4 linked regions of the Anolis sagrei genome follow. The protein of the gene in region 1 purifies or fractionates together with the protein of each later gene. This does not show direct contact. Links are inferred from orthologs where the notes say so. Each region holds a gene or a part of one and is shown in the gene's direction. Other genes may lie near its edges. The genes, in order: DCAF1, DYRK2, CEP78 and COPS4.

Region 1 (7,113 bases):
TCCTAGTTTCCCATCAGACATTTTATCTAACTATGGCCAGATCAACACTAACATACCATGCAGTTTCAAAATATATTATATGGCAGTGCAGATGGGGCCCAAGAAATACAGGTTGAGTATCCCAGAAATTCAAAATGGTCCAAAATCCCAAATTGTTCACATGGGAGTCAAGATGCTTTTTGATATTTCAATGTACCCCAACTTTGTTCATGCACAAAATTATCAACAACTATTGTGTATAAAATTAGTTTCAGACATGTGCATTAGATGTGCAGTAGTTTTGTGTTTATGTTGTTACAACCCAGGGACCCCAAAAGACCCTAAAGCACACGGCCAACGAAGATGCCAGGAAGGATCTCACCAGCGAATTCCCTCAGCAGAATGGTAAGGCTAACATTCAGAGGTGACCTTTGGTTCAGTTCTTAGTTGGAGTGGGAACACAGGGCAAATCTCATTATTCCTTCAGGCAGATGACAAAATCTCTCATGACCATCCTTTTCCTTGCTACAATAAACTCTTAGAGCCGTCGCAAACTCTGTTCCTGCGAGAGAAAACCTTGCTAGCATGTCCCTGACGTCACGAGACTCCGCCTCTCTCCCCGCCCCTTTCTCTGCCCCTTTCTCCATGCGAGCGTGGTTTTTCCTTTGCTAGGGCAGCATTGCCCGCATTTTCTCTCAGTTGGCTGAATTCAACTGAGAGAAAATGCGGGCAATGCTGCCCTAGCAAAGGAAAAACCACGCTCGCAAAGAGAAAGGGGCGGAGAAAGGGGCGGGGAGAGAGGCGCAGGCTCATGACGTCAGGGACTTGCTAGCAAGGATTTCTCCAGCAGAAACCTAGTTTGCGACGGGCCTTACATCTCACAATAAACCCATCTCTGACCAGCAGGAAATATCATGGAGTCATCAAGCACCCTGCCTTTGTCTCTTCCTGAGAATCCATCCAGGTGTGCCAAAACTCATTGTCGCCCATTGTTTTGCTGGCTTAGTTCCACTGTGTCATCTGAACTGGCAGGATTATCACCCTTTAACCTGTCTATATTCCTTTATTAAAGTTCCTGTCAGACAAGGAGTCCAATCAGGTGGACGGTGCACCTCCACCAATCAGTACGCAGATTGTAGCCAGCACCAACTTGCACCAATCAGTGAATAAAGCCTCTGATCCTTGCCTTCATCCTGTGTGGTTTGAAACTTTGGAGCCCAGGCATGCCAGGAATCCAAAACTGTGGTTTAACAGAGCAGAAATCATGTATCATTTAGACTTGAATCCCATCTCCAAGATATCTCATTATGTATATGCAGTAGAAGCCCCCAGTGGTGCAATTGGTTAAACCTTTGTGTCGGCAAGATTGCTGGCCATAAGGCCAGCAGTTCGAATCCAAGGAGTGGGGTGAGCTCCTGTTTGTCAGCTCCAGCTTCCTAAGTGGGGACATGAGAGAAGCTTCCCACAGGATGGTAACACATCTGGGCGTCCCCTGGGCAACGTCCTTGCAGACAGCCAATTCTCTTACACCAGAAGCGACTTGGAGTTTCTCAAGTTGCTCTTGACACGAAAAGAAAATGTATATGCAAATATTTAATTATTTTAAAAAGAAAAAAAAACCCAAAATATTTTTGGTTCCAAGCATTTCTGATAAGGCTTCATCAACCAGTATTATGGATATGTATTGGAGTCCCTGGTGGTGCAATTGGTTAAGCCCTTGTGCCAGCAGGACTGATGTTTGAATCTGGGGAGAGCACAGATGAGCTCTCTCTGTCAGCTCCAGCTCCCCATGCAGGCACATGAGAAGCCTCCCACAGGGATGATAAAACATCAAAACATCCAGGCATCTCCTGGGCAACGTCCTTGCAGACGGCCAATTCTCTCATACCAGAAGCGACTTGCAGTTTCTCAAGTTGCTCCTGACACACACAAAAAAGGATATGTATTAATGCTTGTAACTGAAGACTATCTCACAGAATGCACTGTAAACTTAGATCATAACTTTACAATAACAAGAACACTCCTTCCAAACAGGCATGGGCAAACTTCAGTAGGCTGTTAGGAATGGTGGGAGTTGAAGTCCAAAACACCCGGAGGGCCAAAGTTTGCCCATGCCTTTTCCAAAGTATCAGTAAAATAATATAGTATATTGTATACATATATATTGATAATAATATTACAATGTAATAATACAATTTAAGAATTATATATTTTATATTACATGTGATATTGCTAATAATATTACAGCATAGTGGTACGAAATAGTAATATGTAATGTAATATGTAATGCCAATATTGTGCTGTGCTAATAATATACTATATTGTATACACATGTAATATTGATATGCACTTTACTTACTTAAACGATCCCTCAATGTCCGAGTAAGATTGTCCTCCAAGTGCGGTGTCCTGGCGGTGGGTACGTAGGTGACTGTGGAGCCCTATTCTTGACTCACATATGTTCTCCTACAGTGAGGGAATCGGTTTCCAGGTGGAAGGCGGTCCCGGTTGAGGTTGGCTTGATGTGCCTTCCTCTTGGCACATTTCTCTCTTTCACCCTCCGTTCATGCCTCTTTGAATTCTACAGCACTGCTGGTCACAGCTGATCTCCAGCTGGAGTGTTCAAAGACCAGGGCTTCCCAGTTCTCAGTGTCTATGCCAGAGATTTTAAGGTTGGCTTTGAGCCCATCTTTAAATCTCTTTTCCTGTCTTCCAACATTCCGTTTTCCGTTCTTGAGTTCGGAGTAGAGTAACTGCTTTAGGAGACGGTGTTTGGGCATCTGGACAACGTGGCCGATCCAGCGGAGTTGATGGCAGAGGACCATCACTTCAATGATGGTGGTCTCTGCTTCTTCCAGCACGCTGACATTTGTCTGCTTGTCTTTCCAAGAGATTTGCAGGATTTTTTGGAGGCAACAGTGATGGAATCGTTCCAGGAGTTGCATGTGATGTCTGTAGATAGTTTACGTCTCGCAGGCATATAGCAGGGTTGGGAGGACAATAGTACCTTGGTATAAACAAGTACCTTGGTATCCTTAAGTATGTCCCTGTCCTCAAACACCCTGTGCTTCATTCGAAAAAATGCTGCACTCACCGAGCTCAGGCGGTGTAGTATTTCAGTGTCAATGTTGACTTTGGTGGAGAGGTGCTGTCAAGGTAGTGGAAATGGTCAACATTTTCTAGTCTTACACCATTAAGCTGTATTTCTGGCATTGGAGAGGGATTGGCTGGTGACTGCTGGAAGAGCACTTTGGTTTTCTCAATGTTCAATGACAGGCCGAGCTTCTCGTATGCTTCTGCGAAGGTGTTTAGAGTGGCTTGTAGGTCTTCTTCTGAATGTGCACAGATGATGTTGTCATCAGCATACTGGAGTTCTATAACAGATGTTGTTGTGACCTTGGTTTTGGCTTTCAGTCTGCTGAGGCTGAATACAATATAATACTAATAATAAAACAATAAAATTATATATTTAATATTACATGTAATATTACTAATAATATTACAGTATAGTCGCATGGTACAATATGGGATTGTATGGTACTAATATTGCGCTATGCTAATAATATATTGTATTACATAAAACTTGTAAGCCGCTCTGAGTCCCCTTCGGGGTCAGAAGGGCGGCATATGAATGTCGTAAATAAATACATGAAAGTCCTTTGGAAGGAGAGAAGACTACGGCTCTCGACAGACATGTAGCCGGGGGGGGGGGGGGGGCTTGAGGGGCTTCAGGCCCCCCCCACCCCCGAAATTCTCATGGTGGTTCGCGAAAAGGCCTTCCTGGTGCATTATTTAAACTGTTATGTTTATTCATATCATGATCTGATCACCATACTCAATATATCTCATATGCATGGGGGTATTGGGGTAATGATACAAAAGGTTTGCTAGGCTAGACCCTCTTTCACTCAGGCTCAGCCCCCCCCCCCCGAAACCCACCCTGAAAAAAGCCCCCCCCCCCCCCGAAACGAAATCCTGGCTCCCGAAATGATTTACGGGAATGAGAAGGCGGCTGCTATGGTGACGAAGGCAGACCATGCGGTAGCCTTGGCGCATGCGCACTGGGCCCGGACTACACTTCCCGGCTTCCCTGGCGGCGCGGCGGCGACTGATGAGCGAGAGCGCGCGCGCGTGTGGTGGGGGCGACGGCGCTCGCGGGCGGTGACGCGCCAAGTGTGTGCCCGCCATAGGCAGAGCGGCCGCCGGGCGACGGTGCGTGGGGCCCGGAGGAAGGCGGAGGAGGAGGAGGAGGCCGAGGCGAGGCGACGAGGCGGCGGAAGGCCGGGCAGGTAAGGGCCGCGAGGGAAGGGAAGAGGACGGGGAAGGGAGGGAGGAGGCGCCGGGCCGAGGAGTTGAGGCCGGTGACAGGCGGAAGGAGGCCGGCTGCTGGCAAGGGGCGCCCATGTGTTCCTCAGCCCGCCTCCCTCCCTCCCTCCCTCCCTCTCTCTCTCCTCCGGCTTGTAGTGGGGAATCTGAGCCCTGGCCGCGATCCAGAGCGCGTTCACATGGGGTTGAGCCTTTCTCTCCCCTTTCTCGCTTGGCTCGGGCACCATTGAACACGCGTGGAAGAGGAAGCCGGTCTCCCTCAATGGTCCTCTCTCTCTCTCTCTTTCTCTCGCCCGCCCCCTTTCTCTCTCCGCCCCTAAAAGGCCTCACAGGGAGGTCAAAGGGCGACCAGCCTGGGGCAAAGCGGATCCTTATTCTTTCCCCTCCTCCTCCTTCCAGAACAGGCATAGGCAAACTTCGGCCCTCCAGGTGCTTTGTACTACAACTCCCACAATTCCTAACAACCGCTAGGCTGGGTTGCTGTGAGTTATCCGGGCTGTATGGCCATGTTCCAGAAGCATTCTCTCGTGACGTTTCGCCCACATCTGTGGCAGGCATTCTCAGAAGTTGTAGCCCTGCAGCCAAGCCTTGAACCTGCAAGGCTATTCAGTGCTAAATCAAGGCGATCAATTGCAGCATTCTCACTTGCCTCAAGCAGACAATAATTCTATCTCCCACCCTGGACATTCCATACACACACACACACACACACACACACCACTTGCCTAGTTTCCAACACACCTCACAACCTTTGAGGATGCCTGCCATGGATATGGGAGAAACGTCACGAGAGAATGCTTCTGGAACATGACCATGCAGCCCGGAAAACTCACAGCAACCCAGTGATCCTGGCCATGAAAGACTTCGACAACACAGTTGGTATGATGTTAGGAATTGGAGTTGTAGTCGAAAACACCTGGAGGGCTGAAGTTTGCCCATGCCTGTCCTAGAACCATACTTGGAAAGGACCTCAAGGGCCACCCAGCCCAGCCCCCTTCTGCCATGCAGGAATACTCATTCAAAGCACCTTCAACAGATGGCCATCCAGCCTATAATTAAAAACCTCCAGAGGAGACTCCACTACACTCTGATTTAGTATATCCCACTGCCTAACACAGGCATGGTAAACTTTGGCTCTTCAGGTGTTCTGGACTTCAGCTCCTGCAATTCCTAGCAGCCACTGTTAGGAATTGTGGGGATTGAAGTCCAAAACACCTGGAGGGCCGAAGTTTGCCCATGCCTGGCCTAACAGCTCTTACCACCAGGAAGTTTTTTTCCTAATGTTTTGGTGGAATCTCTTTTCTTGCAGTTTGAATCCATTGCTTCTTCTTCTAACTGGTTTCTCCTAGCTTCTAGTATTTTCTGATGCCAGCATCATTTGACCTCTCTGTCTTATCCCTGCTCTCTCCCCTCCATATCTTTGGCTTCTGTTTGTAGGGGAGGGATGATGAAGCCCTGAGTGTCAACTTCCTGGGGAGATTTAACTGCTTGAAGCCCCTTCTTGCTCTTTTTTGCACGTGATCCAGGAATAGGAGGGATTAATGTGGAGTTAGGACATTGCCCTGGAAATCGTGTTTGGGTCCATCTGCACTGTATCGTTAAAGAAGCTAGACACATTTTGAACTGCTATGGCTCAGTGCTATGGAATCATGGAAGCTATAGTTTTACAAGTTTTTAGATTTCTCTGCCCACAAATGTACAAATACCAGTATTTCACAGAATTGAGCCACGGCAATTAAAGTGGTGTCAAACTGCATTCATTCTACAATGTAATGCACCTTCGAATACCCAAAGTGGACCCTGAAAGGTGATCATAAGGTGACATCTGTGTATATGAGGGAAATGCTTTTACCTTGACAGTGGACTGTCACTGTCCACCTTTCCATTCAAAACTCGAATTGGCTTCAGGTCTACTATTTCTAGTTTCAACATAACAAACAATTTCTGAAAAAGATGGCTTGTCCCATACATTCCTTTTTCATTTTGTATTGGCAAATGTGTGTGCTGCGCATATAGAAGTTATGTATTATTTTCTCCAAGGAATATCATTACTTATCATTGTTATTACCACAAGCATGTTTGGAAAATTCCACTGAGGTTTGATCCCAGGACTCTCCATGAATACTGAAACCCATGGATGCTCAAGTCTCATTATGCAAGGTTCTAGTAAAGTGGTGTAAATGGCAAAATAAAGATTTGTATTTGGGAATTTAAAAATATTTTCAAGCCATGGAGTCTTTGGTTGCTGAAACTATAGCTCTAGAGGTCCAATTGTACTGTAGATTTCTGAGGAGATGTAATAAGTACATAGATAAATGGCAGTGTTCTGTGTTTAGACCTTTTTGTACAGGTTTGACCAGAAATACCAGGCAGGGAGAAGGCAGTTATTTTGATCCTATAGAATAAGAGTTTTTACACATATCCCATTGAAGTAAATAGCATCTAATAATTTGTACAGTAGAAGAGATATATCTGGACACCACATCTAGAAGCAGCATATGTGACTACATCTGTCACCTTCTCTGTTCTGTTGTGATTTTCTGACCTCATGGGTCATCCAGTCCAAGCAGAGGCTGGGTGGCAATCTGTTGGGAGTGCTTTGATTGTGATTTTCCTGCTTCTTGACAGGTGGATGGACTGGATGGTCCACGAGGTCTCTTCCAACTCTATGATTTGGATTTTCCCTTACCTGTATTCTGAATTGTAGCTCTTTGGTTTTGTCCCTCAGAACTCAATGAAAACTATGAACAAGTAAATGACAGCCTACATAGACAGTCTCACTTTCAATTCTTTTAAGTTTGGGTAGTT
Region 2 (7,585 bases), on another chromosome or scaffold:
CTATTTCTTTAGGGGTTCCTTATTCTGCATAGTTACCAGTCTTGCCTCTTACTTATCTAGACTGAGACAGCTGCTTTTTCCTTCTTTCTTCACCAGCACATCCTTATCTCCCTCTCCCTTCAGCAATCCTATAAATGGACCACTCCTATCTGCCACATATACAGTAAGTTTAAAAGAAACATGCTCACTCAATAGTTAGCATTTGGCAAATTGCTGGAGTAAGTGTTGTACTGCTTACACTTTTATTCATTTCCACAATGGGAATATTTGTGTTTTATTAAGAGTATGTTTTGTTAAAGGAACAAGATCTCCCTCTTTACATTTCTTTTGCTGTTGCCATGTGCCTTCAAGTCATGTCTGACCTAGGGCTACCCTAAGGCAAAACTATCACAGGGCTTTCTTGACACAATTTGTCCAGAAGAGCTTTGCCATTGTTTTCCTCCGAGGCCAAGAGTGTGTGACATACCTAATGTGGGTTTTTGTGGTTTATAGGAGATTCACGTCTTGCTCTCCAGAGTCATAAGGTGCATCTACAGCAGGAATGGGCAAACTTTAGCCCTCCAGGTGTTTTGGGATTCAACTCCCACAATTCCTGAGGGCCGAAATTTGCACCTACCTGATCTACAGTGTAGAATGAATGCAATTTCATGTGGTGGCACAATGATCAGGACTGCTAACGGAAAGGTTGGTGGTTTGAATCCAGGGAGCAGGGTGAGCTCCTGACTGTCAGCTCCAGCTCCTCATGCCGGGACATGAGAGAAACTTCCCACAGGATGGTAAAACATCCTGACGTCCCCTGGGCAACATACTTGCAGACAGCAAATTCTCTCACACCAGAAGTGATTTGCAGTTTCTCAAAAATGAAAAAAAAACCTTTAACTGCCGTGGCTCAATGCTATGGATTCACAGAAGATGGCAGTTTTCAAGGGCTTTAGACATCTCTTCCAAAGAGCACTTGATGGGAGAGATCAAACTGCATCAAACTGTAATCCGCAGCATTCCATAGCATTACCTCCAGGAAGTTAAAGTGGTGTCAAACTGTCTTCATATTACAGTTTAGAGAGATATACCTTATGACTCTGGAGAACAGGGCTCCAGTCTCAAATCATATTGGAAACCCACCTGGAGACATTGGGCAAGCCACACTCTTGACTTCTGAGGAGGGTCGCAAGAAACCCCTTCTGGACAACTCTTGCCAAGAAGACATTGGGCATGTGGATGTCCCACACCCCAACATTCAAACCACTACACTATGCTGCCTCCAAAGCTTTCCTTTGCCCTCTTTCGAAAGGGAAAGCACAAACCCAAAGAAGGACAAGAGATAACTTATCATCCTCCCTGTTCCCTGCTTATCTCACACTAAAGTTTTTTTTCTCTTTCTCTCTAGAGTTTCAGAAGGAAGTTCTTCCTTCTGCCTTTCCAGTGCATTGTTTATAAACAACTCTCCGCCCACGAAGAGAGGGAGGGATTCCTTCAAGTAGCAGGCAAAGAAGGGGGGTGAGAGGTTTTCTCCTTTGGGCTCTGGAGAAGGAACACAGAGCAAGATTTCCCCATAGAGAAAGACACTTCTACAGCCTTAGAAGAGGTCACTTAGGTTGGGCAATGGGCATCCTCTCAGTGTGGCTTCAAAAATAACCTGCTAAGAGTCCACCTTGCATCTCAGTTACAAGATTATGATAGAATAATAATGATAGAATGAAGCTTCCCTTGATTTTTCCAGGGTCTATCCTAGGCATGGGCAAACTTAGGCCCTCTGGGTGTTTTGGACTTAAGCGGCTGAGGGGGAAAAGAAAGGGGCCTGAGGCTGTTAGGAATGGTGGGAGTTGAAGTCCAAAACACCCAGAGGGCCCAAGTTGGCCCATGCCTGGTCTAGCCTTTTTTCTCCAGAGGAAAATCCAGTCCATCTTTCCCCACTCTGTCCTAGACCTGACCTTCATCAGAGATGTTTCATCTTTAGAGATGTGCTCACCAAGGCTTCCTCACCAGATGTTCACCAATGCTTCCTCTTCATCCTGGAAAGAAGTGATGGGTGGAGTGCCACAGGGTTCCCTCCTGGGCCCGGTCCTGTTCAACATCTTTATTAATGACTTGGATTTTTTTTTTGTCGTGTCAGGAGCGACTTGAGAAACTGCAAGTTGCTTCTGGTGTGAGAGAATAGACCATCTGCAAGGACGTTGCCCAGGGGACGCCCAGATGTTTTTGATGTTTTATCATCCTTGTAGGAGGCTTCTCTCATGTCCCCGCATGAGGAGCTGGAGCTGATAGAGGGAGCTCCTCTGCGCTTTCCCCTGATTCGAACATGCGACCTGTTGGTCTTCAGTCCTGTCGGCACAGGGGTTTAACCCACTGCGCCACTGGGGGCTCCTAATGACTTAGATGAAGGGTTGGAAGTCATGATCATCAAGTTTGCAGACGACACCAAATTGGGAGAGAGAGCCAATACTCCAGAAGACAGGAGCGGAATTCACAAGGATCTTAATAGATTAGAGAGATGGGCCAAAACTAACAAAATGAAGTTCAACAGTGACAAATGCAAAATACTCCACTTAGACAGAAAAAAATGAAATGCAAAGAATGGAGGATGTGTGACTCGATAGCAGTATGTGTGAAAAAGATATTGGAGTCCTCATGGGCAACAAGTTAAACATGAGCCAACAATGTCATGTGGTGGCAAAAAAAAAAAAAAGGCCAATGAGATTTTGGCCTGTATAAATAGGAATCTAGTGTCTGTATCCAAGGAAGTAATGCTACCCCTCTATTCTGCCTTGGCTAGATCACACCTGGAATACTGTGTCCAATTCTGGGCACTGCAATAGAAGGGAGATGTTGACAATCTGGAATGTGTCCAGAGGAGGGTGACTAAAATGATCATGAGTCTGGAGAACAAACCCTATGAGGAGCGGCTTAAAGAGTTGGGCATGTTTAGCCTGCAGAAGATAAGGCTGAGAGGAGACATGATAGCCATGTATAAATATGTGAGGGGAAGTCATAGGGAGGAGGGAGCAAGCTTGTTTTCAGCTGCCCTGGAGACTAGGATGCAGAAACATGGCTTCAAACTACAGAAAAGAACATTCCACTGAACATTAGGGAGAACTGTGAGAGCTGTCGAAGGCTTTCATGGCTGGAATCACTAGGTTCTTGTGGGTTTTTTCGGGCTATATGGCCATGTTCTAGAGGCATTTCTCCTGACGTTTCGCCTGCATCTATAGCAAGCATCCTCTGAGGATGCTTGCCATAGATGCAGGCGAAACGTCAGGAGAAATGCCTCTAGAACATGGCCATATAGCCCGAAAAAACCCACAAGAACCAACTGTGAGAGCTGTTCAGCAGTGGAACTCTCTGCCTTGGAGTGTGGTGGAGGCTCCTTCTTTGGAGGCTTTTAAGCAGAGACTGGATGGCCATCTGTCGGGGGTGCTTTGAATGCGATTTTCCTGCTTCTAGGCAAGGGGTTGGACTGGATGGCCCATGAGGTCTCTCCCAACTCTATGATTCTATGATGTGGTAACCCGCCTCGAGCCACGAGGAGATTTGGGCAGGAAATACTACTATTGTTAGGATGCTGATTGCGTCTCCTCGCCCCCTCCTTCTATGGCCTCGCGCCCCATTTGGAAGAGCGGCTCCTTTTCTCTTTCAGGACGTGCCCCACGTTATTTGGCCTCCCTACAATCTGAAATCTTTTGTTTCTCGTCGACGGCCGCTCTCTCTTCTCACAAAGTGAAGGCGCCGCGGGGGGGAAAGGAGAAAGGGCCTGAGGCGAGCACCCTCTTCCCCCTCTTTTGCGTGGCCCGGGGCGAGCAGTAGCCACTGCCTACGTGTGTGGAGGAGGAGGAGAAGGAGGAGGAGGAAGGGAAGAGGGAGGGGCTGCACATCGCCGCCTCCCTCGCCTTTCAATTCAATCCAGGGCCGGGGAGGGGCTGCCACTCTGTCAGATCCAAGCCAGTGAGTGAGGAGAGAGTTCGGGGAAAGTGTGAGGGGCGGGGCCAAGGGCGAGGGGCGGGGCTTGGCTTGCTAGCCCCTCTCCTTGGGCTCGAGGCGGTCGCTCCGCCTGTGTTTGCCTCTTTGAAGGGGAGAGTGTGTCGCGCCGGGGAGGGGCTGCCATTCTGTCAGATCCGAGCCAGGGAGTGAGAGGAGAGGGTTCGGGGAAAGTGTGAGGGGCGGGGCTAAGGGCGAGGGGGCGGGGCTTAACTTGGCTGCCCCCCTCCCTCCTTGGGCTCGAGGCGGTCGCTCCGCCTGTGTTTGTCTCTCTGAAGGGGAGGAGAACGAGAAGGAAGGCAAGAGGGAGGGAGGGAGGTGGAAGAAGGGAGCCCCTCATGCTGCCGCCCCCCTCCCCTTCCTCCCGCGAAGGCACCGGGGGACCCTGGACGCTGCCCGGGTGATGCCTTTGGTGCCTCCGGAGCAAGGAGGAGAGGAGGAGGAGGAGGAGGAGGAGGAGAAGGGGAAGGAGGAGAGAGCGGAGGCCGAGGCCGGGCGGGGCGCGCGGGGCTGCTTCTGCCCGGCGGCGGGCCCGGGCTCTTGGGGGACGGATGCCGCGGAGGGGCCGGGGCCTGGGGGCTCGCGAGGCAACGCCGGCGCCCAGCGCGGAGGAGAGGAGCGCCAGGAGGAAGAGAAGGAGGCGGAGGAGGAGGAGGCGCAGGCGGAGCAGCAGCAGCAGCAGCAGCAGCCCTGAGATGCGCTCCCCAGTCCTTCCCCACCAGCGGCCATGTTAACCACCAGGAAACCTGCTGCCGGGGCTGGAGGAGCCGCTGCTGCTGGTGAGATTGAGCGAGGGGTTGGACAGGGCAGCGGGGCCCAGCCCCCAGTGGGAAAGGCCCTTGGAGGAAGGCCCGGCGCCGCAGGTCCAAGGGCAACCCTACAGCCCAGAAGATCCAGGCAGAAAATCCCACAATATCTGAGCGTGGGCTTAGGGCCCTTCCACGCAGCCCTATATCCCAGAAGATCAAGGCGGAAGATCTGAATGTGGACTTAGGGCCCTTCCACACAGCCCCAGAAGATCAAGGCAGAAAATGCCACAATATCTGAGTGCGGACTCAGGGCCCTTCCACACAGCCCTATATCCCAGAAGATCAAGGCAGAAGATCTGAATGTGGACTTAGGGCCCTTCCACACAGCCCCAGAATATCAAGGCAGAACATCCCACAATATCTGCTTTGAACTGAGTCCACATTCAGATAATATGGGATTTATGCCTTGATCTTCTGGGAGATAGGGCTGTGTGGAAGGGCCCTCAGATAACCCAGTTCAAAGCAGATATTGTGGCATTTTCTGCCTTGTTCTTCTGGGCTATAGGGCTGTGTGGAAGGGCCCTAAGTCCACACTCCGATATTGTGGCATTTTCTGCCTTGATCTTCTGGGCTATAGGGCTGTGTGGAAGGGCTCCTAGAGGACAGCGACGCTTCTATAGTCGGCGTTGCAGGGTCATCTCTTCCCCCCTTGAGGGAAACGGGGACAGGCAAAAACCCACTTGGAGTGGGGTTCCTGGGCTGGCCTTGGATCGGGCTCTGCGTGAAGACCCTTCCCTGCCATCGAGGCCCCAGACCAAGCGGAGAAAGGAGGGGGGAGGGAGGAGGGGACTGCACGCCACTCAAATCCCCCCTGGCTTCTCCCTTCTGCCTCTGCGGCGTGTGGGTTGACCGTGGATGAAGGAAGGTTGACCCGAGGGGAAGGGATCGCCCCTCCCTCCCCTCGCGAGCACCCCATCCCCCACCCCTCCGCAATAGAGGAGGGGGCGGGGGGGCTCCCTCTGTTGTGTTTCCCCCCCACTTCCTCTTCCTGGACCCTCTCAGGCTCTCCTCTTTAGCCTCTCTCTTCTGGCTTCTTCTCCCTCCTCAGGCAGCAGGGCAGTAGCAGGAGGAGGAGGAGGAGGGGAGGGCGCCCTCCAGTGCCAGCCTTCGCCAGGCCTCGGCGCCGGAGGGGCCTCCCGGGCCGGACCGGGCACCGCTGGACCGCCTTCGCCCATCGCTTTGCCGCCGCTCAAGCCCAGCAGCGCTGCCCACACGGTGAGGAAGAGCGAGGCCGGGATTTAAGGGTGGGGGCTTTGGAGGGATGGGTATATATATATGATCTGCTCAGTGTCAACCTTGGACTCTCCCTCGCTCTATCTCTCTCTCCCTCCCCTCCATCCCCATCCCCAGAAGATTTGAATGCCAGCTTCTCATAAGCCCCCCCCAACTGCCTCCCCCAATTGCTTCTGCTCTCCCCCCCCCCGTGCCAACCTTGGACCCTCCTCCCTCCCATCCATCCCCAGAAGACTTGAATGCCAGCCACTCATAAGCCCCCCCCCCTCCACTGCCTCCCCCAATTGCTTCTGCTCCTCCTTCTCCTCCTTTCCTGGGTATTAATAGCAAGCAATCTGCAAGGTACAGTCAGGCTGCCAGCCAGCCTGTCTGAGTGGGAGGTGGGCATGAGCTTGCTTTCCAGGGCATGGAGGAGCCCCATTAATTCCCCGCCACCGCCGGCATGTCTCAACACGTCCTAGTCCTCTTCCCTGTCTGGTTTCAACAGGTACTTGTGATTTCGTTGTAGAGGGGCAGAAGGGTAAGAGGGGAGAAGCAAGGTCTGGAGGCGCTCTGGAGACTGATGAACGCTCTGGGCCACTTTGGCAAGGAGAGATGGAGCCCTCCAGTCAGGTCACCTGTGTGAGCCATGCAAGGGTGTTGCATCGCTCACATCACAACTGGAGGAGGCTTTTGCATCTTTCTCTCTGAGGCTCATTCAAGATTTCAGTGCTGGGTGATGGATTTGAAACAAAGGAAAATAAAAAGGGGCCTGCTCAGGAGGTTGACGAGGTGAGAAAGAACGGTCCTTGTGGCTGGACTGAAAAGCCACTGCTGGTTTGGTCATCTTTCTGGTGGCTGTCATTTTCTCAACAAGTTTTTGGTACAGTCTAGTCAATGCAGTGTGGTTATAAGAGTGTTTCTGGAAGATGTAGTTAGTCGTTTTATGACAAAGGATTCACCTCTCAGAACTAAAAGAAAAGTTCTTATTTTGGGTTGCTGTGAATTTTACGGGATGTATGGCCATGTTCCAGAAGCATTCTCTCCTGATGTTTCACCCACATTGATGGCAGGCATCCTCAGAGGTTGAGGGATCTGTTGGAAACAAGGCAACTGGGGTTTATATATCTGTTGAATGTCCAGGGTGGGAGAAAGAACTCTTGTCTGCTTGAGGCAAGTGTGAATGTTGGAATTGGCCACCTTGATTAGCTTTGAATGGCCTTGCAGCTTCAAAGTCTGGCAAGTTGCTGTCGGGGGGGGGGGATTCTTTGTTGGGAGACGTTAGCTGGCCTTGATTGATTCTTGTCTGGATTTCCCTGCTTTTTGGGTGTTGCTCTTTCTTTACTGTCCTGATTTTAGACTAGTTGTTAGACCACCCCAGACCTGATGATCCATTTCCAGTGGAACAGCCAGAGACAGTAAAGTAGGCTGGAGTGTGACACTGCCCTTGTAAACACCATTCACTAGGGAAACAGGTGTTGGCATTATTTGCAAGGCTGTGGTTTCTCACATAATCTTCAAGTTGCAGCTAATCTGCTACAAGGGAGGGAACTTCTCAAGCATGATGATCTATTTATGGAAGGTGGAGAAGG
Region 3 (7,577 bases), on another chromosome or scaffold:
CCTTTTATGTCTTGATTCAGCTGCTTTGCACTTTAATCAAGATATAAAAATGGAATATAAATAAAAATAAATACACTAATAACAATATATAAATATATAAAAGACACAACAGAACCAAAAAGCTTCAGAAGGATTAAAAGAAGCATAGTATCAGATGGGCCTTGTTTTGTGAAGCAATCTAAATGTAAATTGTAGATTTACAAAAATTATAGATTAAAAAAAAGATTTACAAAACTGCTATGAGACGTTCTTGCTCAGTGGCCAGAAAATGAGGAAAGGTTACTGAGCGTAGCTTGCTGACTATTATAGAGTAAGAATAGTCCCCAGAAAATTCAAGAAATAACATAGTAAAATACAAAACATGTAAAAGACACAGTGGAGCCAAAAAAGCCCCAGAAGAATTAAAATAACAATAATATTATCGTCCTTGTGAAGCCAAGTCTGTGGAAGCAACTGAAATCCACTCTTACCTACTTTAGTCCTTGGCTTTGCTATGCCAGGTGTAATTAATCCGGCATGCTAGTTGTGCGTCGTGGTATTTAACAACATATCCATTCAAGTATGCATGATAATGCCTTTTTCCCCTAAATGGATTAAGAATATATTCCATCCAGTGGTCAGCATAATAAAGACTCCAGAATCATAGTAAAGTAAGTGAAGTCGTCTCAATGTGGCTGGAATCCTTTGGGTTAATTTCTCCTGAAGTTGACCCATTGAGGAAAACTAGTCCGGACTAAGAAAATGATTTAGTTTTGTCCCTAAATGTTATATCTGTTGCTTATGCTATAACCACTCATTTGTTATAGTGAAAGACTATAGAACAGGCATGGGCCAACTTGGGCCCTCCAGGTGTTTTGGACTACAACTCCCACAATTCCTAACAGCCTACCAGCTGTTAGGAATTGTGGGAGTTGTAGTCCAAAACACCTGGAAGGCCCAAGTTGGCCCATGCCTGTTGTATAGTGTGGTGCCAAGTGATATTTCAAAGATACTTCTTTTTATATATATATAAAAAATAATGTATACATCCATGTTGTAAATGTGTGTTGTAAATATTGTGTATTTGTACAGAAAAGACTCAATATGTTTACTTGACATTCTCCCCCCCCCCTTTCATGTAAAAGCACAGTGGAGAGATGTCCGCCTCGTAATAATACATTTTATCCCAATAATCATGAGTAAAACCCAAAAAACTATGGAAAAAAATTATTCTCGCAGCCATATTTCAATAAACCGTGGAAGTGTTTCAACTGTTATGTTCCCTTTGTTTCAAATGGGTATTTTTGGATAATCAGAAAAAGAGATTTTACATGAAATTAGTATAGATTTCTTCTGTTTTTATGTTTGAAATTTGTGGCCTGCTTTTGAAGACATTGAGTGTTTCTACGCTATAGAATTAATGCAGTTTTGACACCACTTCAGCAAAATCACAAATGGGTCTCGATTTATCTGCAAAGAACAAGTTTTTCAGTGCTTCCAGTCATTTTAATTGTATGTTTTAATTCTATTTAAATATCTGTATATTTAAATATCTGTATAACTGATTTTTTTAAAAAAAATACTGTGGGTCTTTGTGGGATATAAATATTCCTAATAATAATAATAATAATAACTCCATGAAAGGAAAGGAAAAGAGAAGGGAGGGAAGAAAACAAAACTCCATGGACAGTTTCTGGCAAAAATTGAGAGCCAAATTGACAAAGAAAAAACATGGCTGTGGCTCACAAATGGAACTTTGAAAAAGGAGACAAAGAAGGGCCTGATTCTGGAAGCCCAAGAACAAGCCATTCGAACCAATGCCATCAAAGCCAGAATTGAAGTCGACAACAGATCCCAAATGTAGACTCTGCAAGGAAGCAGATGAAACAATAGATCACATTCTCAGCTGCTGCAAGAAGATTGCGCAGACAGACTACAAGCAGAGGCATAACACGGTTGCTCAGATGATTCATTGGAACTTGTGCCACAAATACCATCTGCCAGATTACAGGTTCGAATCCAGAGAGAGCATGGATGAGCTCCCTCTGTCAGCTCCAGCTCTCTATGTGGGGACATGAGAGGAGCCTCTCACAAGGATCGTAAAAATCCGGGTGTCCCCCTAGGCAAAGTCCTTGCAGATGGCCAATTTTCTTACACCAGAAGCGACTTGCAGTTTCTCAAGTTGCTCCTGACATGAAAAAAAACTTGCCCTGATTGATTCTTTTCTAGAATTCCCCTGCTTTTTGAGTGTTGTGCTTTATTTACTGTCCTAATTCTAGAGGATTTTTTAAATAGTGCTAGCCAGATTTTTTTTCATTTTCATGGTTTCCTCCTTTCTGTTGAAATTGTCCACATGCTTGTGGATTTCAATGGCTTCTCTGTGACATGGTGGTGTGAGAGTGGTCCAGCATTTCTGAGTTCTCAAATAAGATGCTGTGTCCAGGTTGGTTCATCAGGCGCTCTGCTGTGGTTGACTCCTCTATTTGAATCAGTCTGCAGTGTCTTTCATGTTCCTTGATTCGTGTTTGGGCAATGATGCGTTTGGTGGCGCAATGGATTAAACCCTTGTGCTGGCAGGACTGAAGACTGACAGATCAGAGGTCGAATATAGGAAGAGCTTGAGTGAGCTCACTTTGTCAGTTCCAGCTCCTCATGCAGAGACATGAGAGAAGCTCCCCTCTGTCAGCACTAGCTTCCCTACCAACCTAGCAGGAATTGTGGGAGTTGAAGTCCAAAACACCTGGAGGGCTCAAGTTCGCCCATGCCTGAGTTAACCTATTGCGGCGCCGCAAATAAATATAGCTTATTAATTATAGTAAATATTAAATAATATGCTATAAATAAAATAAATAAGAATTTTTCCTGTCTCTGTGAAAAGTCCTCAGCCCATAATATAGAATGTTTGGGTTGTTGTAGGTTTTCCAGGCTATATGGCCATGTTCTAGAGGCATTTTCTCCTGACGTTTCGCCTGCATCTCTGGCAAGCATCCTCAGAGGTAGTGAGGTCTGTTGGAAGTAGGAAAATGGGATTATATATCTGTGGAATGACCAGGGTGGGACAAAGGACTTTTGTCTGCTGGAGCTAGGTGTGAATGTTTCAATTGACCACCTTCATTAGCATTTAATGTCTTGGAAGTGCCTGGGGGAATCTTTCTTTGAGAGGTGATTTGATGTGTTAAATAATATGTTATAAATAAAATAAATAAGAATTATTCCTGTTTCTGAAAAGTCATCAGCCCAAAATATAGAATTTTTGGCTTTCCTACTTTTTCTCTCTCTCTCTCTATAATTATAACTATAAATAAAATAAATAAGAATTTTTCCTGTCTCTGTGACAAGTCCTCAGCCCAAAATATAGAATATTTGACATCCCTACTTTAATACACACACACAAATATATATAGTAGGAAAGTCAAAATATTATAAATAATATTATAAATAAAATAAATAAGAATGGTTCTTGTCTCTGTGAAAAGTCCCCATATATATATATATATATATATATATATATATATACACACACACACACACACACACATACATATACATACATACACACACACAATATTATAAATAATATTATAAAAATATTATAATCTCAGATTAGGAATTCCCCATCCCAAGTCCTAGAAGCACTTTAGTACAATTAATATTGCTGCACACCAGACTATTTTAACCCTACGTGCCTCCTGCCATTTCAGCACTTTTAACCCTGTACCCCATTGCTCTGGCCGGCCCAGTTTTAAAGTATCCTGATGTATTGTCACTGTTGTTATTCTGCTTAACTATTTTGATTTGCTTTGTTTATTGTTGTGTTATGTTTTTACTGTATTGTGTTCTGAGGCTTCGGCCTGTGTAAGCCGCATCGAGTCCCTCGGGAGATGCTAGCGGGGTACAAATAAAGTTAATAATAATAATAATAATAATAATAATAGATAAAATAAATAAGATTTTTTCCTGTTTCTATGAAAAGTCCTCAGCCCAAAACATAGCATATTTGGAATCCCTACTTTAATATATACACACACACGCATATATATAGTAGGAAAGCCAAAATATTATGAATATTATAAATAAAATAAATAAGAATGGTTCTTGTCTCTGTGAAAAGTCCTCAGCCCCAAATATAGAATGTTTGGCTTCCCTACTTTCTTATATATTATATATTCTTATATATTATATATTCAAATATATATCCCTTTATAATAAGGAATTTGTGAAATGCAAGCTTTCCCGCCATCTATTTAAATTAACTAAGAATGGCAAAATAAGGGGAGGAGCGTTAGATTCAAAGGGGGCGTGGTTTTACGGGATGGCCAATCATGTGGCACCTTTCAACGCATCACGTGACGACGGTAGCGGCAAGGGGGTGGAGTTATGTCTGAGGAAACAAGGGAATGGGAGGGGGAAGAAAAGGGCCGCGTTTGTACGGACCGACCAATCAGAAGCTTCGCTTATGAATCACGTGGGAGGACTACAAAAAGGGGCGGGGTTATGTGTGAGGAAAAGAGCAAGAATGAAAGTGTCTGTAGAGAGGAAAGGGGCGTGTTTTGGTGGTCCCGCCCCCTTCCTCTCCCTCTCTTCCAATCAGAGCCTCTTCTCCGCGTCACGTGGGAGGGTGGGAGTAGGAAAAGGGCAGTTGGGGAACCAAGGCAACGGTTACCACACGCGCGAGGGGGAGGAGCCTAAGCCAGCCTTGGATGTTTTGGCCTCCTGCTTGTAAGTAACCAAATAGGAGTAGCATTGTATTGGCTTTGAATGGCTTCAGCGTGGTTTAAATGCCTATCTCTTTGGAATGTGTCCAGAGGAGAGTGACTAAAATGATAAAAGGTCTGGAGAACAAGCCCTATGAGGAGCGGCTAAAGGAGCTGGGCATGTTTAGCCTGAAGAAGAGAAGGCTGAGAGGGGATATGATAGCCATGTATAAATATGTGAGAGGAAGCCACAGGGAGGAGGGAGCAAGCTTGTTTACTGCTTCCCTGGAGACTAGGACAAGGAACAATGGCTTCAAACTACAAGAAAGGAGATTCCATCTGAACATGAGGAAGAACTTCCTGACTGTGAGAGCCGTTCAGCAGTGGAACTCTCTGCCCCGGAGTGTGGTGGAGGCTCCTTCTTTGGAAGCTTTTAAGCAGAGGCTGGATGGCCATCTGTCAGGGGTGATTTGAATGCAATGTTCTTGCTTCTTGGCAGGGGGTTGGACTGGATGGCCCATGAGGTCTCTTCCAACTCTTTGATTCTATGATTCTTTTAATATATATGTTTGCAATGGTTTTATGTTATTACTCTATGCATTTAAAGGCTTTATCTATTCATTTTAATTAATTTAATTTAATTTAAAGCTTTGAGGAGAGAGGATAAGAATTCAACCTTATTGTATTGTCTAAGGATGTCATGCCTGGAATCACTGGGTTGCTGTGAGTTTTCTGGGCTGTTTGGCCATGTTCCAGCAGCATTCTCTCCTGACATTTCGCCCACATCCATCGCAGGCATCTTCAGAGGTTGTGAGGTTTGTTGGGAAACTAGGAAAATTGGGTTTATATATCTGTGGAATAATGTCCAGGGTGGGAGAAAGAACCTTTGTCTGTTTGAGGCAAGTGTGAATGTTGCCTCAAACATAGATTCAGGCAAAATGTTAGGAGAGAATGCTTCTGGAACATGGTCATAACATCCCGAAAAACGTACAGCAACCTATTCAAACTTATTATATGTGTGTAGTAGTAGTAGTTAAAATGACATTAATGATATATTTGTGTTTGTTTTCCTCCTTTTTAGTGTTGACTCTCCAGAAATGATCGAATCAGTCCAAATAAGGAGGCAGTGCAGCCTGGACTTTTACTCCCATTATGAGCACCTGTGTGCAGTTCAAGGCTGCGCTCCCCTCGTGTCCGTGCAGGCCAAAAAGCCTGAAGGCGTGATTGATATAAACGCAGACCGTATCAAAGGTGCAGACTGGTTGCCTCTCCTGGCTGCGCTCAGGCACAACAAGACCTTGACTTCGATCGCCATCAAGAGCTTGCACCATCAGGGACATGCAGACCCAGGTAGGGACTCTTTCAATGGCAAAGCATCATGCTATCTTTGTTGTCGAAGGCTTTCATGGCCAAATCACTGGGTTACTGTGAGTTTTCCAGGCTGTAGGGCCACGTTTCAGTAGCATTCTCTCCTTATGTTTGGCCTGCATTTGTTGTTGGCATCTTCAGAAGTATGAACCCCTGGTGTTGCAGTGGGTTAAACCCTTGTGCCGGCAGCAGGGAAGACGGACAGGTTGGAGGTTTAAATCAGGGAAGAGTAGGAATGAACTCCCTCTGTCAGCTCCAGCTCCCCATGCGGGGACATGAGAGAAGCGTCCCTCAAAGATGGTAAAACATCAAAACATCCAGGCATCCTCTGGACAACGTCCTTGCAGACAGCCAATTCTCTCACACCAGAAGTGACTTGCAGTTTCTCAAGTCACTTCTGACATGAAAAAAAATCTTCAGAGGTCTGTTGGAAATGAGGCAAGTGGGGTATATGTCTGTGGAATGTCCTAGATGAGAGATAGAATCCTTGTCTGTTTGAAGCAACAACGACCAGGCTTTGCAACTGCAAGGCTACTCAATGCTCATCAAGCTGGTTAATTGCATCATCCAAACTTGCTTCAAACAGCCAATCGATCCAGCTGAAAATGAATCTGATTGCAAAGATGAAATGGCATGATGGGTTGCCACGGTAAAAATTTTATTTTATTTTATTTATTTGCAACATTTATATGCCACCCTTCTCACCCCGAAGGGGACTTAGAGCAGCTTACAAGATATATATATATACATACAATATAGTATATTATTAGCATGGTACAATATCAGTATTAAATATTACTATATTGTACTATACCATTATATTGTAATACTAGGCATCCCCTGCCACGCATTGCTGTGGCCCAGTCTGTGTATATGTATTGTGCATGTGTATATATGTGTGTGTGTATATGTATATATGTGTTTTTGTGCATGCGTTGTAATGTGTTTTTTTTTTAAAAATTGACTTCTTACGGGCTTTGATTATGTTTTCTTGCCCAGGTGAAGGGAGTTGGACTGGATGACTTTAAGTATTTTCTGTTGATCATGGAGGTTCTGTGTGGGAAGTTTGCCCAAATTCTGTCATTTGTGGGGTTCAGAATGCTCATTGATTGTAGGTGAACTATAACTCCCAGTAACTACAACTCCCAAATGTCAAGGTCTATTTCCCCAAAGCCCATCTGTGTTCATATTTGTGCATATTGAGTATTCATGCCAAGTTTGGCCCAGATCCATCATTGTTTGAGTCCATAGTGCTCTCTGGATGTAGGTGAACTACAACTCCCAAACTCAAGGTCAATGCCCACCAAACCCTTCTAGTGTTTTATGTTGGTCATGGGAGTCCTATGTGCCACGTTGGGTTCAGTTTCATCATTGGTAGAGTTTAGAATGCTCTTTGATTGTAGGTTGATTATAAATCCCAGCAACTACAACTCCCAAATGACAAAACCATTTTTTGAGTGATGGTCACTCCTTGGGTTAGTAGGTGTATTGGGTCCAAATTTGGCGGCAATTCATCCAGTGGTTTTTGAGTTATGT
Region 4 (6,985 bases), on another chromosome or scaffold:
GACACTAAATCTCGACAGTCTGTCAGCAGAAGTGATGTTTTCCTTCCCCACCTCCTCATCACCTGGCTCAGCAACATGCCAGCCACTTGAGGCTAAATATCAGCTAGAGTTTTCCTGTTTCTCCTGCCATGCCAAGGCTTCCTATACTCATTCCAACCCTAACAATCATGCCTCAATCTTCCATCAAAATGCTATTACGCTTACACCACTGGCTCAGCACCTGAAGCAGTAGTTCCTAATAAAAACAGGGGGAGGAGAATGTGGAACAGGACAGGGAAGGGCAGAAACTACGGCAGCCAACCCCTTCATCCCACACCCGCCCACCCTGTCCCTTCCCTTCCCACAAGCCAGCTGGACGAGTCCTGTCAAAGGAAACCAAGGAGAAAGGGAAAGCAATGTGTTTGGCTTTCCCTCCCTTATAAGAGCTGTCATGCCTCCTTCTTCCCACTCTTCATGCCAACTTCAAACTACTTCCCCTTTTGGGCTTTCTACTCTCAGACATTACCAGGAGTGACAAAGGTTGGCCCATGCCTAATCTACACTGGTCATCTAGTCCAACCTCCTGCCATGCAGGGAAAACAATCAAAGCACCCCTAACAGATGGCCATCCGTCCACTGTTTAAAAGCTTCCAAGGAAGGAGCTTCTACCACACTCCAAAGCAGTCAGTTCTTAGTACGTAGCATGTTTTGGAAATGTTAGAATTTCTCTAGAACATGGCCATATAGCCCGAAAAAAACTACAAGAACCCAGTAATTCCGGCCATGAAAGCCTTCGACAATACAAGGAAATGTTTCTGTTGGCATATTCTGGGACTGTATTCTTGAACAGTCATCTCATTCCGGGGAGGGCGCAGATGAGCTCCCTCTGTCAGCTCCAGCTCCCCATGTGGGGACATGAGAGAAGCCTCCCACAAGGATGGCAAAACATCAAAAACACCTGGGCATCCCCCTGGGAAACGTCCTTGCAGACGGCCAACTCTCTCACACCAGAAGTAACTTGCAGTTTCTCAAATTGCTCCTGATACAAAAAAATACACATCTGATTCTTGCCAAATACTTGGGGGGGGGGGCTTCTTATATTATTTCTAATGGTAACCTTTAGTGCTGATTTGTAAAACTTCCCTTTATAGCAGAGCCTTTGTTTTGGTTTCACCAGTTGCTTAATGCTATTTCTGGCTCTGTCAAAACACACAACACCCATGATCAACAATCAAGGAGCAAATATGCTAACATCCAGTTCACTATGGAAAAAGGAAGGAAGACTGCCTTTTCTAGATGTCCTAGTCATCCGTAAACCAGATCAACAATTGGATCACACAGTTTACAGAAAACCCACACACAGAGATAGATATCTACATAAAAACTCCAACCATCACCCAAGTCAAAAAAGAAGCACCATTAAAGCCTTGACAGACAGTGCAAAAAGAATCTGTGAACCCCACCTCCTCCAAGATGAACTGAACCACCTCAACTGGGCTCTCCAGGCCAATGGATACTCCACCTCAGACATCAGGAGAGCTTCAAGACCAAGAACAAGCCACGAGAGTACGGTAAAGATGAAGATCCACCCAGAGGAAAAGTGTTCCTGCCATACATCAAGGGAACCACTGACCGCATAGGGAAGCTGATGAGAAAACACAACATACAAACTATCTACAAACCCACCAAGAAAATCAAACAAATGCTACGTTCAGCAAAGGACAAGAGGGATCCTCTCACCTCTGCAGGAGTCTACCATATACCATGCAGCTGTGGACAAGTCTACATAGGGACCACCAAACGCAGCGCCCAAACACGAATCAAGGAACACGAAAGGCACTGCAGACTACTCCAACCAGAGAAGTCAGCCATAGCAGAGCACCTGATGAACCAACCTGGATACAGCATATTATTTGAGAACACAAAAATGCTCGACCACTCTCACAACCACCATGTCAGACTACACAGAGAAGCCATTGAAATCCACAAACATGTGGACAATTTCAACAGAAAGGAAGAAACCATGAAAATGAACAAAATCTGGCTACCAGTATTAAAAAATTCTAAAATTGCAACAGCAAAACAGCAGGGAGAAAAACAGGCAGGGACATCTAATCACCTTTCAAGAAGAGTTTGCTCCAGGCACTGTCAGCCCATTGTATGCTAATCAAGGTGGTCAGTGGAAAGATTCACACCCAGCCCAACTTACAAAAGCCCCTTTGTCTCACCCTGGCCATTCCACAGATATATAAACCCCTTTTTTCCCATTTCCAGTAGACCTCACCTCTGAGGATGCTTGCCATAGATGCAGGCGAAACATCAGGAGAAATGCCTCTAGAACATGGCCATATAGCCCGAAAAAACCCACAAGAACTGAGTGATTCCAGCCATGAAAGCCTTCGACAATACATTAAATATGCTATTTGTTTGTATTGGCATCGTATCGGTGCCCAATGTAAGGCATTGAATTTTGCCATTATTTATGTGTAAACTGCTTCGAGTCCCCCCAAGGGTGAGAAAGGCGGTACATAAATACTGGAAATAAATAAATAATTAATAAATAATAAATTTCTGTCCCTGGGTTTTTTTTTGGTTGTTGTTGTGTCAGGAGCGACTTCAGAGACTGCAAGTTGCTTCTGGTGTGAGAGAATTGGCCGTCTGCAAGGACGTTGCCCAGGGGATGCCCAGATGATTTGATGTTTTTATCATCCTTGTGGGAGGCTTCTCTCATGTCCCTGCATAGGGAGCTGGAGCTGACAGAGGGAGCTCACCCTCATTTTCCCCGATTTGAACCTCTGACCTGTTGGTCTTCAGTCCTGCTGGCACAAGGGTTTAACCCACTGTGCCACGGGGGGGGGGGGGGGGTTAAAATCCTCAATTCACGTTTATGTGGCACCAATGCTATGGGAAGTGGAAGTAGCACGGAGAAATCAATAGAATGAGTACAGATAAAGAGGTTATCTCATATTACACTAGGTAACAAAATTTGGAAAAAAAAATCTGTCGGTCTTCAGTCCTGCCGGCACAGGGGTTTAACAGGGCTCTGTCCCGGTCAAAACTCATAACACCCACAATCAACAATCAAGGAGTGATTAACAAGTTTTGGAGCTATCAACAAGCATGTGTCCTATTTAAATGCCAAAATGAATGTATGGTTTCAGTTGATGTGTCAGATATGCTCCTGCAAAAACAACAGATTGTCCACAGGGAAAAATTACACGGTGTGCAGTATGGATTAGGCCTGGGCCAACTTGGGCCCTTCCTCCTTCCAGGTGTTTTGGACTCCAACTCCCACAATTCCTAACAGCCGGCAGTGTAAATACACAAGGCCTGGGCCAACTTGGGCCCTCCCTCCAGGTGTTTTGGACTCCAACTCCCACAATTCCTAACAGCCTACCGGCTGTTAGGAATTGTGGGAGTTGAAACACCTGGAGGGAGGGCCCAAGTTGGCCCAGGCCTTGTGTATTTCCCTACTGTTAGGAATTGTGGGAGTTGGAGTCCAAAACACCTGGAGGGAGGGAGGGCCCAAGTTGGCCCAGGCCTGGTGTATTTACCCTGTCCCGTAATGCAGTTGATATGAGGCACCTGTCACTCCAGGGCGCGTTTCCCGTCAGGCTTCTCCTCCGAGCACCAGGCCTTCCTTCGCCCTCAGGCTGCCGTTAAACCCTCGCGGCCAGAAGCGCAGCCCTCTCTCCCCCGCCTCCGCTCTCTCCTCCTCCTCCTCCTCTCCCTTCTCTCCTTCTCCCGGTTCCGTGTTTGTTCAAAATCACGCGCCCAGCGCCATTCCGCCGCATCCCATAATAGCTCGGCAGCGCCGCCGTCTTGGCAACGGCTTCGGCGTCATCACTCTTCTCCCGCCTTCTCCAAAAACACAGCCACTTCCGGGTTGAAAGCGTCACTGTGCGTGCGTGCGTGTACGCGCGCGCGCTCGAGAATGACGCAGAGTCCGCCCTCATTGGTTTCTGAGGCGACGGAGGGGGCGTGGTTATTTTTCCCTCACCGGAAGTGTAGAAAAGAAAAATGGCGGCGGCGGTGAGGCAGGAGTTGACGCAGCTCATGAGCTCCAGCGGCTCCCACAAGGATTTAGCCGGGAAGTAAGCGACGGCTTCTTGGTTTTCGATGAGGGAAGGCGGAGCGGGGCAGGAGAAGCTCGCAAAAAGGGAAGGGAAGGCATTGTATTGTCGAAGGCTTTCATGGCCGGAATCACTGGGTTGTTGTAGGTTTTTTCGGGCTATATGGCCATGGTCTAGAGGCATTCTCTCCTGATGTTTCGCCTGCATCTATGGCAAGCATCCTCAGAGGTAGTGAGGTCTGTTGGAACTAGGAAAAAGGGGTTTATATATCTGTGGAATGACCAGGGTGGGACAAAGGACTCTTGTCTGTTGCAGCTAGGTGTGAATGTTTCAGCTGACTACCTTGATTGGCATTTGATGGCCTGGAAGTGCCTGGAGCAATCTTTTGTTGAGAGGTGATTAGATGTCCCTGATTGTTTTCCTTCTGCTGTTTTGCTGTTTTAATTTTAGAGTTTTTAATTTGCTTGCCACAGATGCAGGCAAAACGTCAGGAAATAATGCCTCTAGAACATGGCCATATAGCCCCCAAAAAAACCTACAACAACTGAGTGATTCCAGCCATCCTCAGAGGTAGTGAGGTCAGACTACACAGAGAAGCCACTGAAATCCACAAGCATGTGGACAATTTCAACAAAAAGGAGGAAACCATGAAAATGAACAAAATCTGGCTCCCGGTACTAAAAAAAAACTCTAAAATTACAACGGCTAAACAACAGAGAGGAAACAAACAAGGACATCTAATCACCTCTCAACAAAAGATTGTCCCAGGCACTGTCAGGCCATGAAATGCTAATCAAGGTAGTCAGTTGAAACATTCACATTTAGCTCCCGCAGACAAGAGTTCTTTGTCCCACCCTGGTCATTCCACAGATATATAAACCCTTTTTCCTTGTTCCAACAGACCTCACTATCTCTGAGGATGCTTGCCATAGATGCAGGCGAAACGTCAGGAGAGAATGCCTCTAGACCATCGCCATATAGCCCGAAAAACCTACAACAACCCAGGGAAGGCATTGATTCAGTGGTTTAAACACGGCCTGGCCCGTCCCTTGCCCATCTTCACTGTAGAATGAATAATAATAATCTATATAAATAAAAATGTAATGTTCGTTTGTGCTATCCATAGAACTCACAAACCACTGGGGCAACTGGCACCAAATTTGGACACGATACACCTAACAACCCAATTTATGTCCTTCATTCAAAAAATTGATTTTGTCATTTGGGAGTTGTAGTTGCTGGGACTTGTAGTTCACCTACAATCAAAGTACATTCCGAACCCCGTCAACGATGGAATTGAACCAAACTTGGCACGCAGTTCTCCCATGACCAACAGAAAATACTGGAAGGGTTTGGTGGGCAGTGTCCTTTGGTTTTGGAGTTGTAGTTCACCTACATCCAAAGATCACTGTGGACTCAAACAATGATGGATCTGGACCAAACTCTACAAGAATACTCAATATGCCGAAATGTGAACACTGGTGGAGTTTGGGGGAAATAGAATCTTGACACTTGGGAGTTGTAGTTGCTGGGATTTATAGTTCACCTACAATCAAGGAGCGTTCTGAACCCCACCAATGATAGAATTGGGCCAAAGTTCCCACACAGAACCTCCATGATCACAGAAATTACTGTGTTTTCTGATAGTCTTTGGCAACCCCTCTGACACAGCTTCGCAACCCCCCCAGGGGTCCTGACCCCCAGGTTGAGAAACACTGCTCTAGAACATGGCCATATAGCCCGAAAAAACCCAAACCCTGTAAAAGTTAGACAGTCATACACACATCTCAACATGTGTGTGTGCAATCTCACTGAGACCCCCTCCAAAAAAAATACTGCTTTATTGGGTCCCTTTTCATCTTCCAGGTTCTCTAATTCACTATGGATTCATCACATTTTGTCAACATCCTACCTCCACTTAGCCAAGCAAACATTTTCCTTCTCTTCTATTAATTATTTTTACATCCCCAGCTGTTAATGCCCTTTGCATGTGGTGTTATCGTTTCCCCTTCTCCTTGCTCTTGAACCTATTATCCTTGAGAGTTTTATGTACAGCAAACCATCTTTCAAAACAATTTCTCCCACTGCAACCAAAAGGCTTTCTCTAAGACAATTACTAAGTTGAACGTGTTTATAAATTGAGCAAAATCTTGCTTTTCAGTGTCCTTCAATTATTCCAATTATTCTTCAATTATTATTAAAATCCCAGCTACATTCCCTACCCTGAAGGAGGTTGCATCTCTACTCATCAGGATCAGTATGTGTCACCTTCTCAAATGCCACCGCTTGCCCTTTATTAAACCTATGGTACTAAACATAGTATTCCCAACATAGTATTCCCATGAGGCATCACCATCTGATCTGTGGAGACTTTCTAGGAAATAAACAGGTGCAGTCAGTGGACACAAATATGGTGTCACCTATAGCACTTTGCTGTTGTTCCTCCGCATCAGATCCTACTTACTTACTTAGGTTATCCCTCATTGTCCGAGTATTTTGGCCTTTCAATTGTAGTGTCTTGGTGGTGGATACATATAATAATAATAATAATAATAATAATAATAATAAACTTTATTTCTACCCCGCTACCATCTCCCCGATGGGGACTCGGAGCGGCTTACATGGGGGCAAGCCTGGACAACATAATACAGCAATAAAATCAAAACATATACAATGGACAGCAACAACATTATCAAAATGATATTAAAATAATAATGTTAACCCCTCAGCTGAACAGTTGTTAGGATGTAATCTCCATCTCAGATGGAATTTACTGGTTGATTTACCCTGTTTAATGATTAAATTATTGATACATTTGTACTCCTGCCTTGTCTATACAGTGAGCAGTAGGAAATAGGAGTAAGATACTGGTTTTCAAAGTGTTAAAAATAACTATTTTCTTTCCAGCAAGTCATGTTTTTAACACTCCTGAA

The links.
Region 2: the proteins of DCAF1 (region 1) and DYRK2 purify together in Homo sapiens (affinity purification with western blotting; 5 studies listed by BioGRID and IntAct, with this or other methods). This does not show direct contact. The link is inferred for Anolis sagrei from reciprocal best matches to the Homo sapiens genes DCAF1 and DYRK2.
Region 3: the proteins of DCAF1 (region 1) and CEP78 purify together in Homo sapiens (affinity purification with western blotting; 3 studies listed by BioGRID, with this or other methods). This does not show direct contact. The link is inferred for Anolis sagrei from reciprocal best matches to the Homo sapiens genes DCAF1 and CEP78.
Region 4: the proteins of DCAF1 (region 1) and COPS4 purify together in Homo sapiens (affinity purification with mass spectrometry; 4 studies listed by BioGRID, with this or other methods). This does not show direct contact. The link is inferred for Anolis sagrei from reciprocal best matches to the Homo sapiens genes DCAF1 and COPS4.

What each region holds. Positions count from the first base shown.
Region 1 is NC_090022.1:70,977,781-70,984,893, forward strand, and holds the start of DCAF1 (DDB1- and CUL4-associated factor 1), read left to right. Parts: upstream 1-4,109; 5' UTR 4,110-4,268; intron 4,269-7,113. UniProt on the Homo sapiens protein: Acts both as a substrate recognition component of E3 ubiquitin-protein ligase complexes and as an atypical serine/threonine-protein kinase, playing key roles in various processes such as cell cycle, telomerase regulation and histone modification.
Region 2 is NC_090025.1:142,756,772-142,764,356, forward strand, and holds the start of DYRK2 (dual specificity tyrosine-phosphorylation-regulated kinase 2), read left to right. Parts: upstream 1-4,580; 5' UTR 4,581-4,699; coding exon 4,700-4,751; intron 4,752-5,829; coding exon 5,830-5,996; intron 5,997-6,377; exon of another isoform or gene 6,378-6,456; coding exon of another isoform or gene 6,457-6,501; intron 6,502-7,585. UniProt on the Homo sapiens protein: Serine/threonine-protein kinase involved in the regulation of the mitotic cell cycle, cell proliferation, apoptosis, organization of the cytoskeleton and neurite outgrowth. Functions in part via its role in ubiquitin-dependent proteasomal protein degradation.
Region 3 is NC_090025.1:190,094,699-190,102,275, reverse strand, and holds the start of CEP78 (centrosomal protein of 78 kDa), read left to right. Parts: upstream 1-4,574; 5' UTR 4,575-4,698; intron 4,699-5,754; 5' UTR 5,755-5,770; coding exon 5,771-6,023; intron 6,024-7,577. UniProt on the Homo sapiens protein: Centriole wall protein that localizes to mature centrioles and regulates centriole and cilia biogenesis. Involved in centrosome duplication: required for efficient PLK4 centrosomal localization and PLK4-induced overduplication of centrioles.
Region 4 is NC_090025.1:17,418,255-17,425,239, forward strand, and holds the start of COPS4 (COP9 signalosome complex subunit 4), read left to right. Parts: upstream 1-3,969; 5' UTR 3,970-3,999; coding exon 4,000-4,073; intron 4,074-6,985. UniProt on the Homo sapiens protein: Component of the COP9 signalosome complex (CSN), a complex involved in various cellular and developmental processes.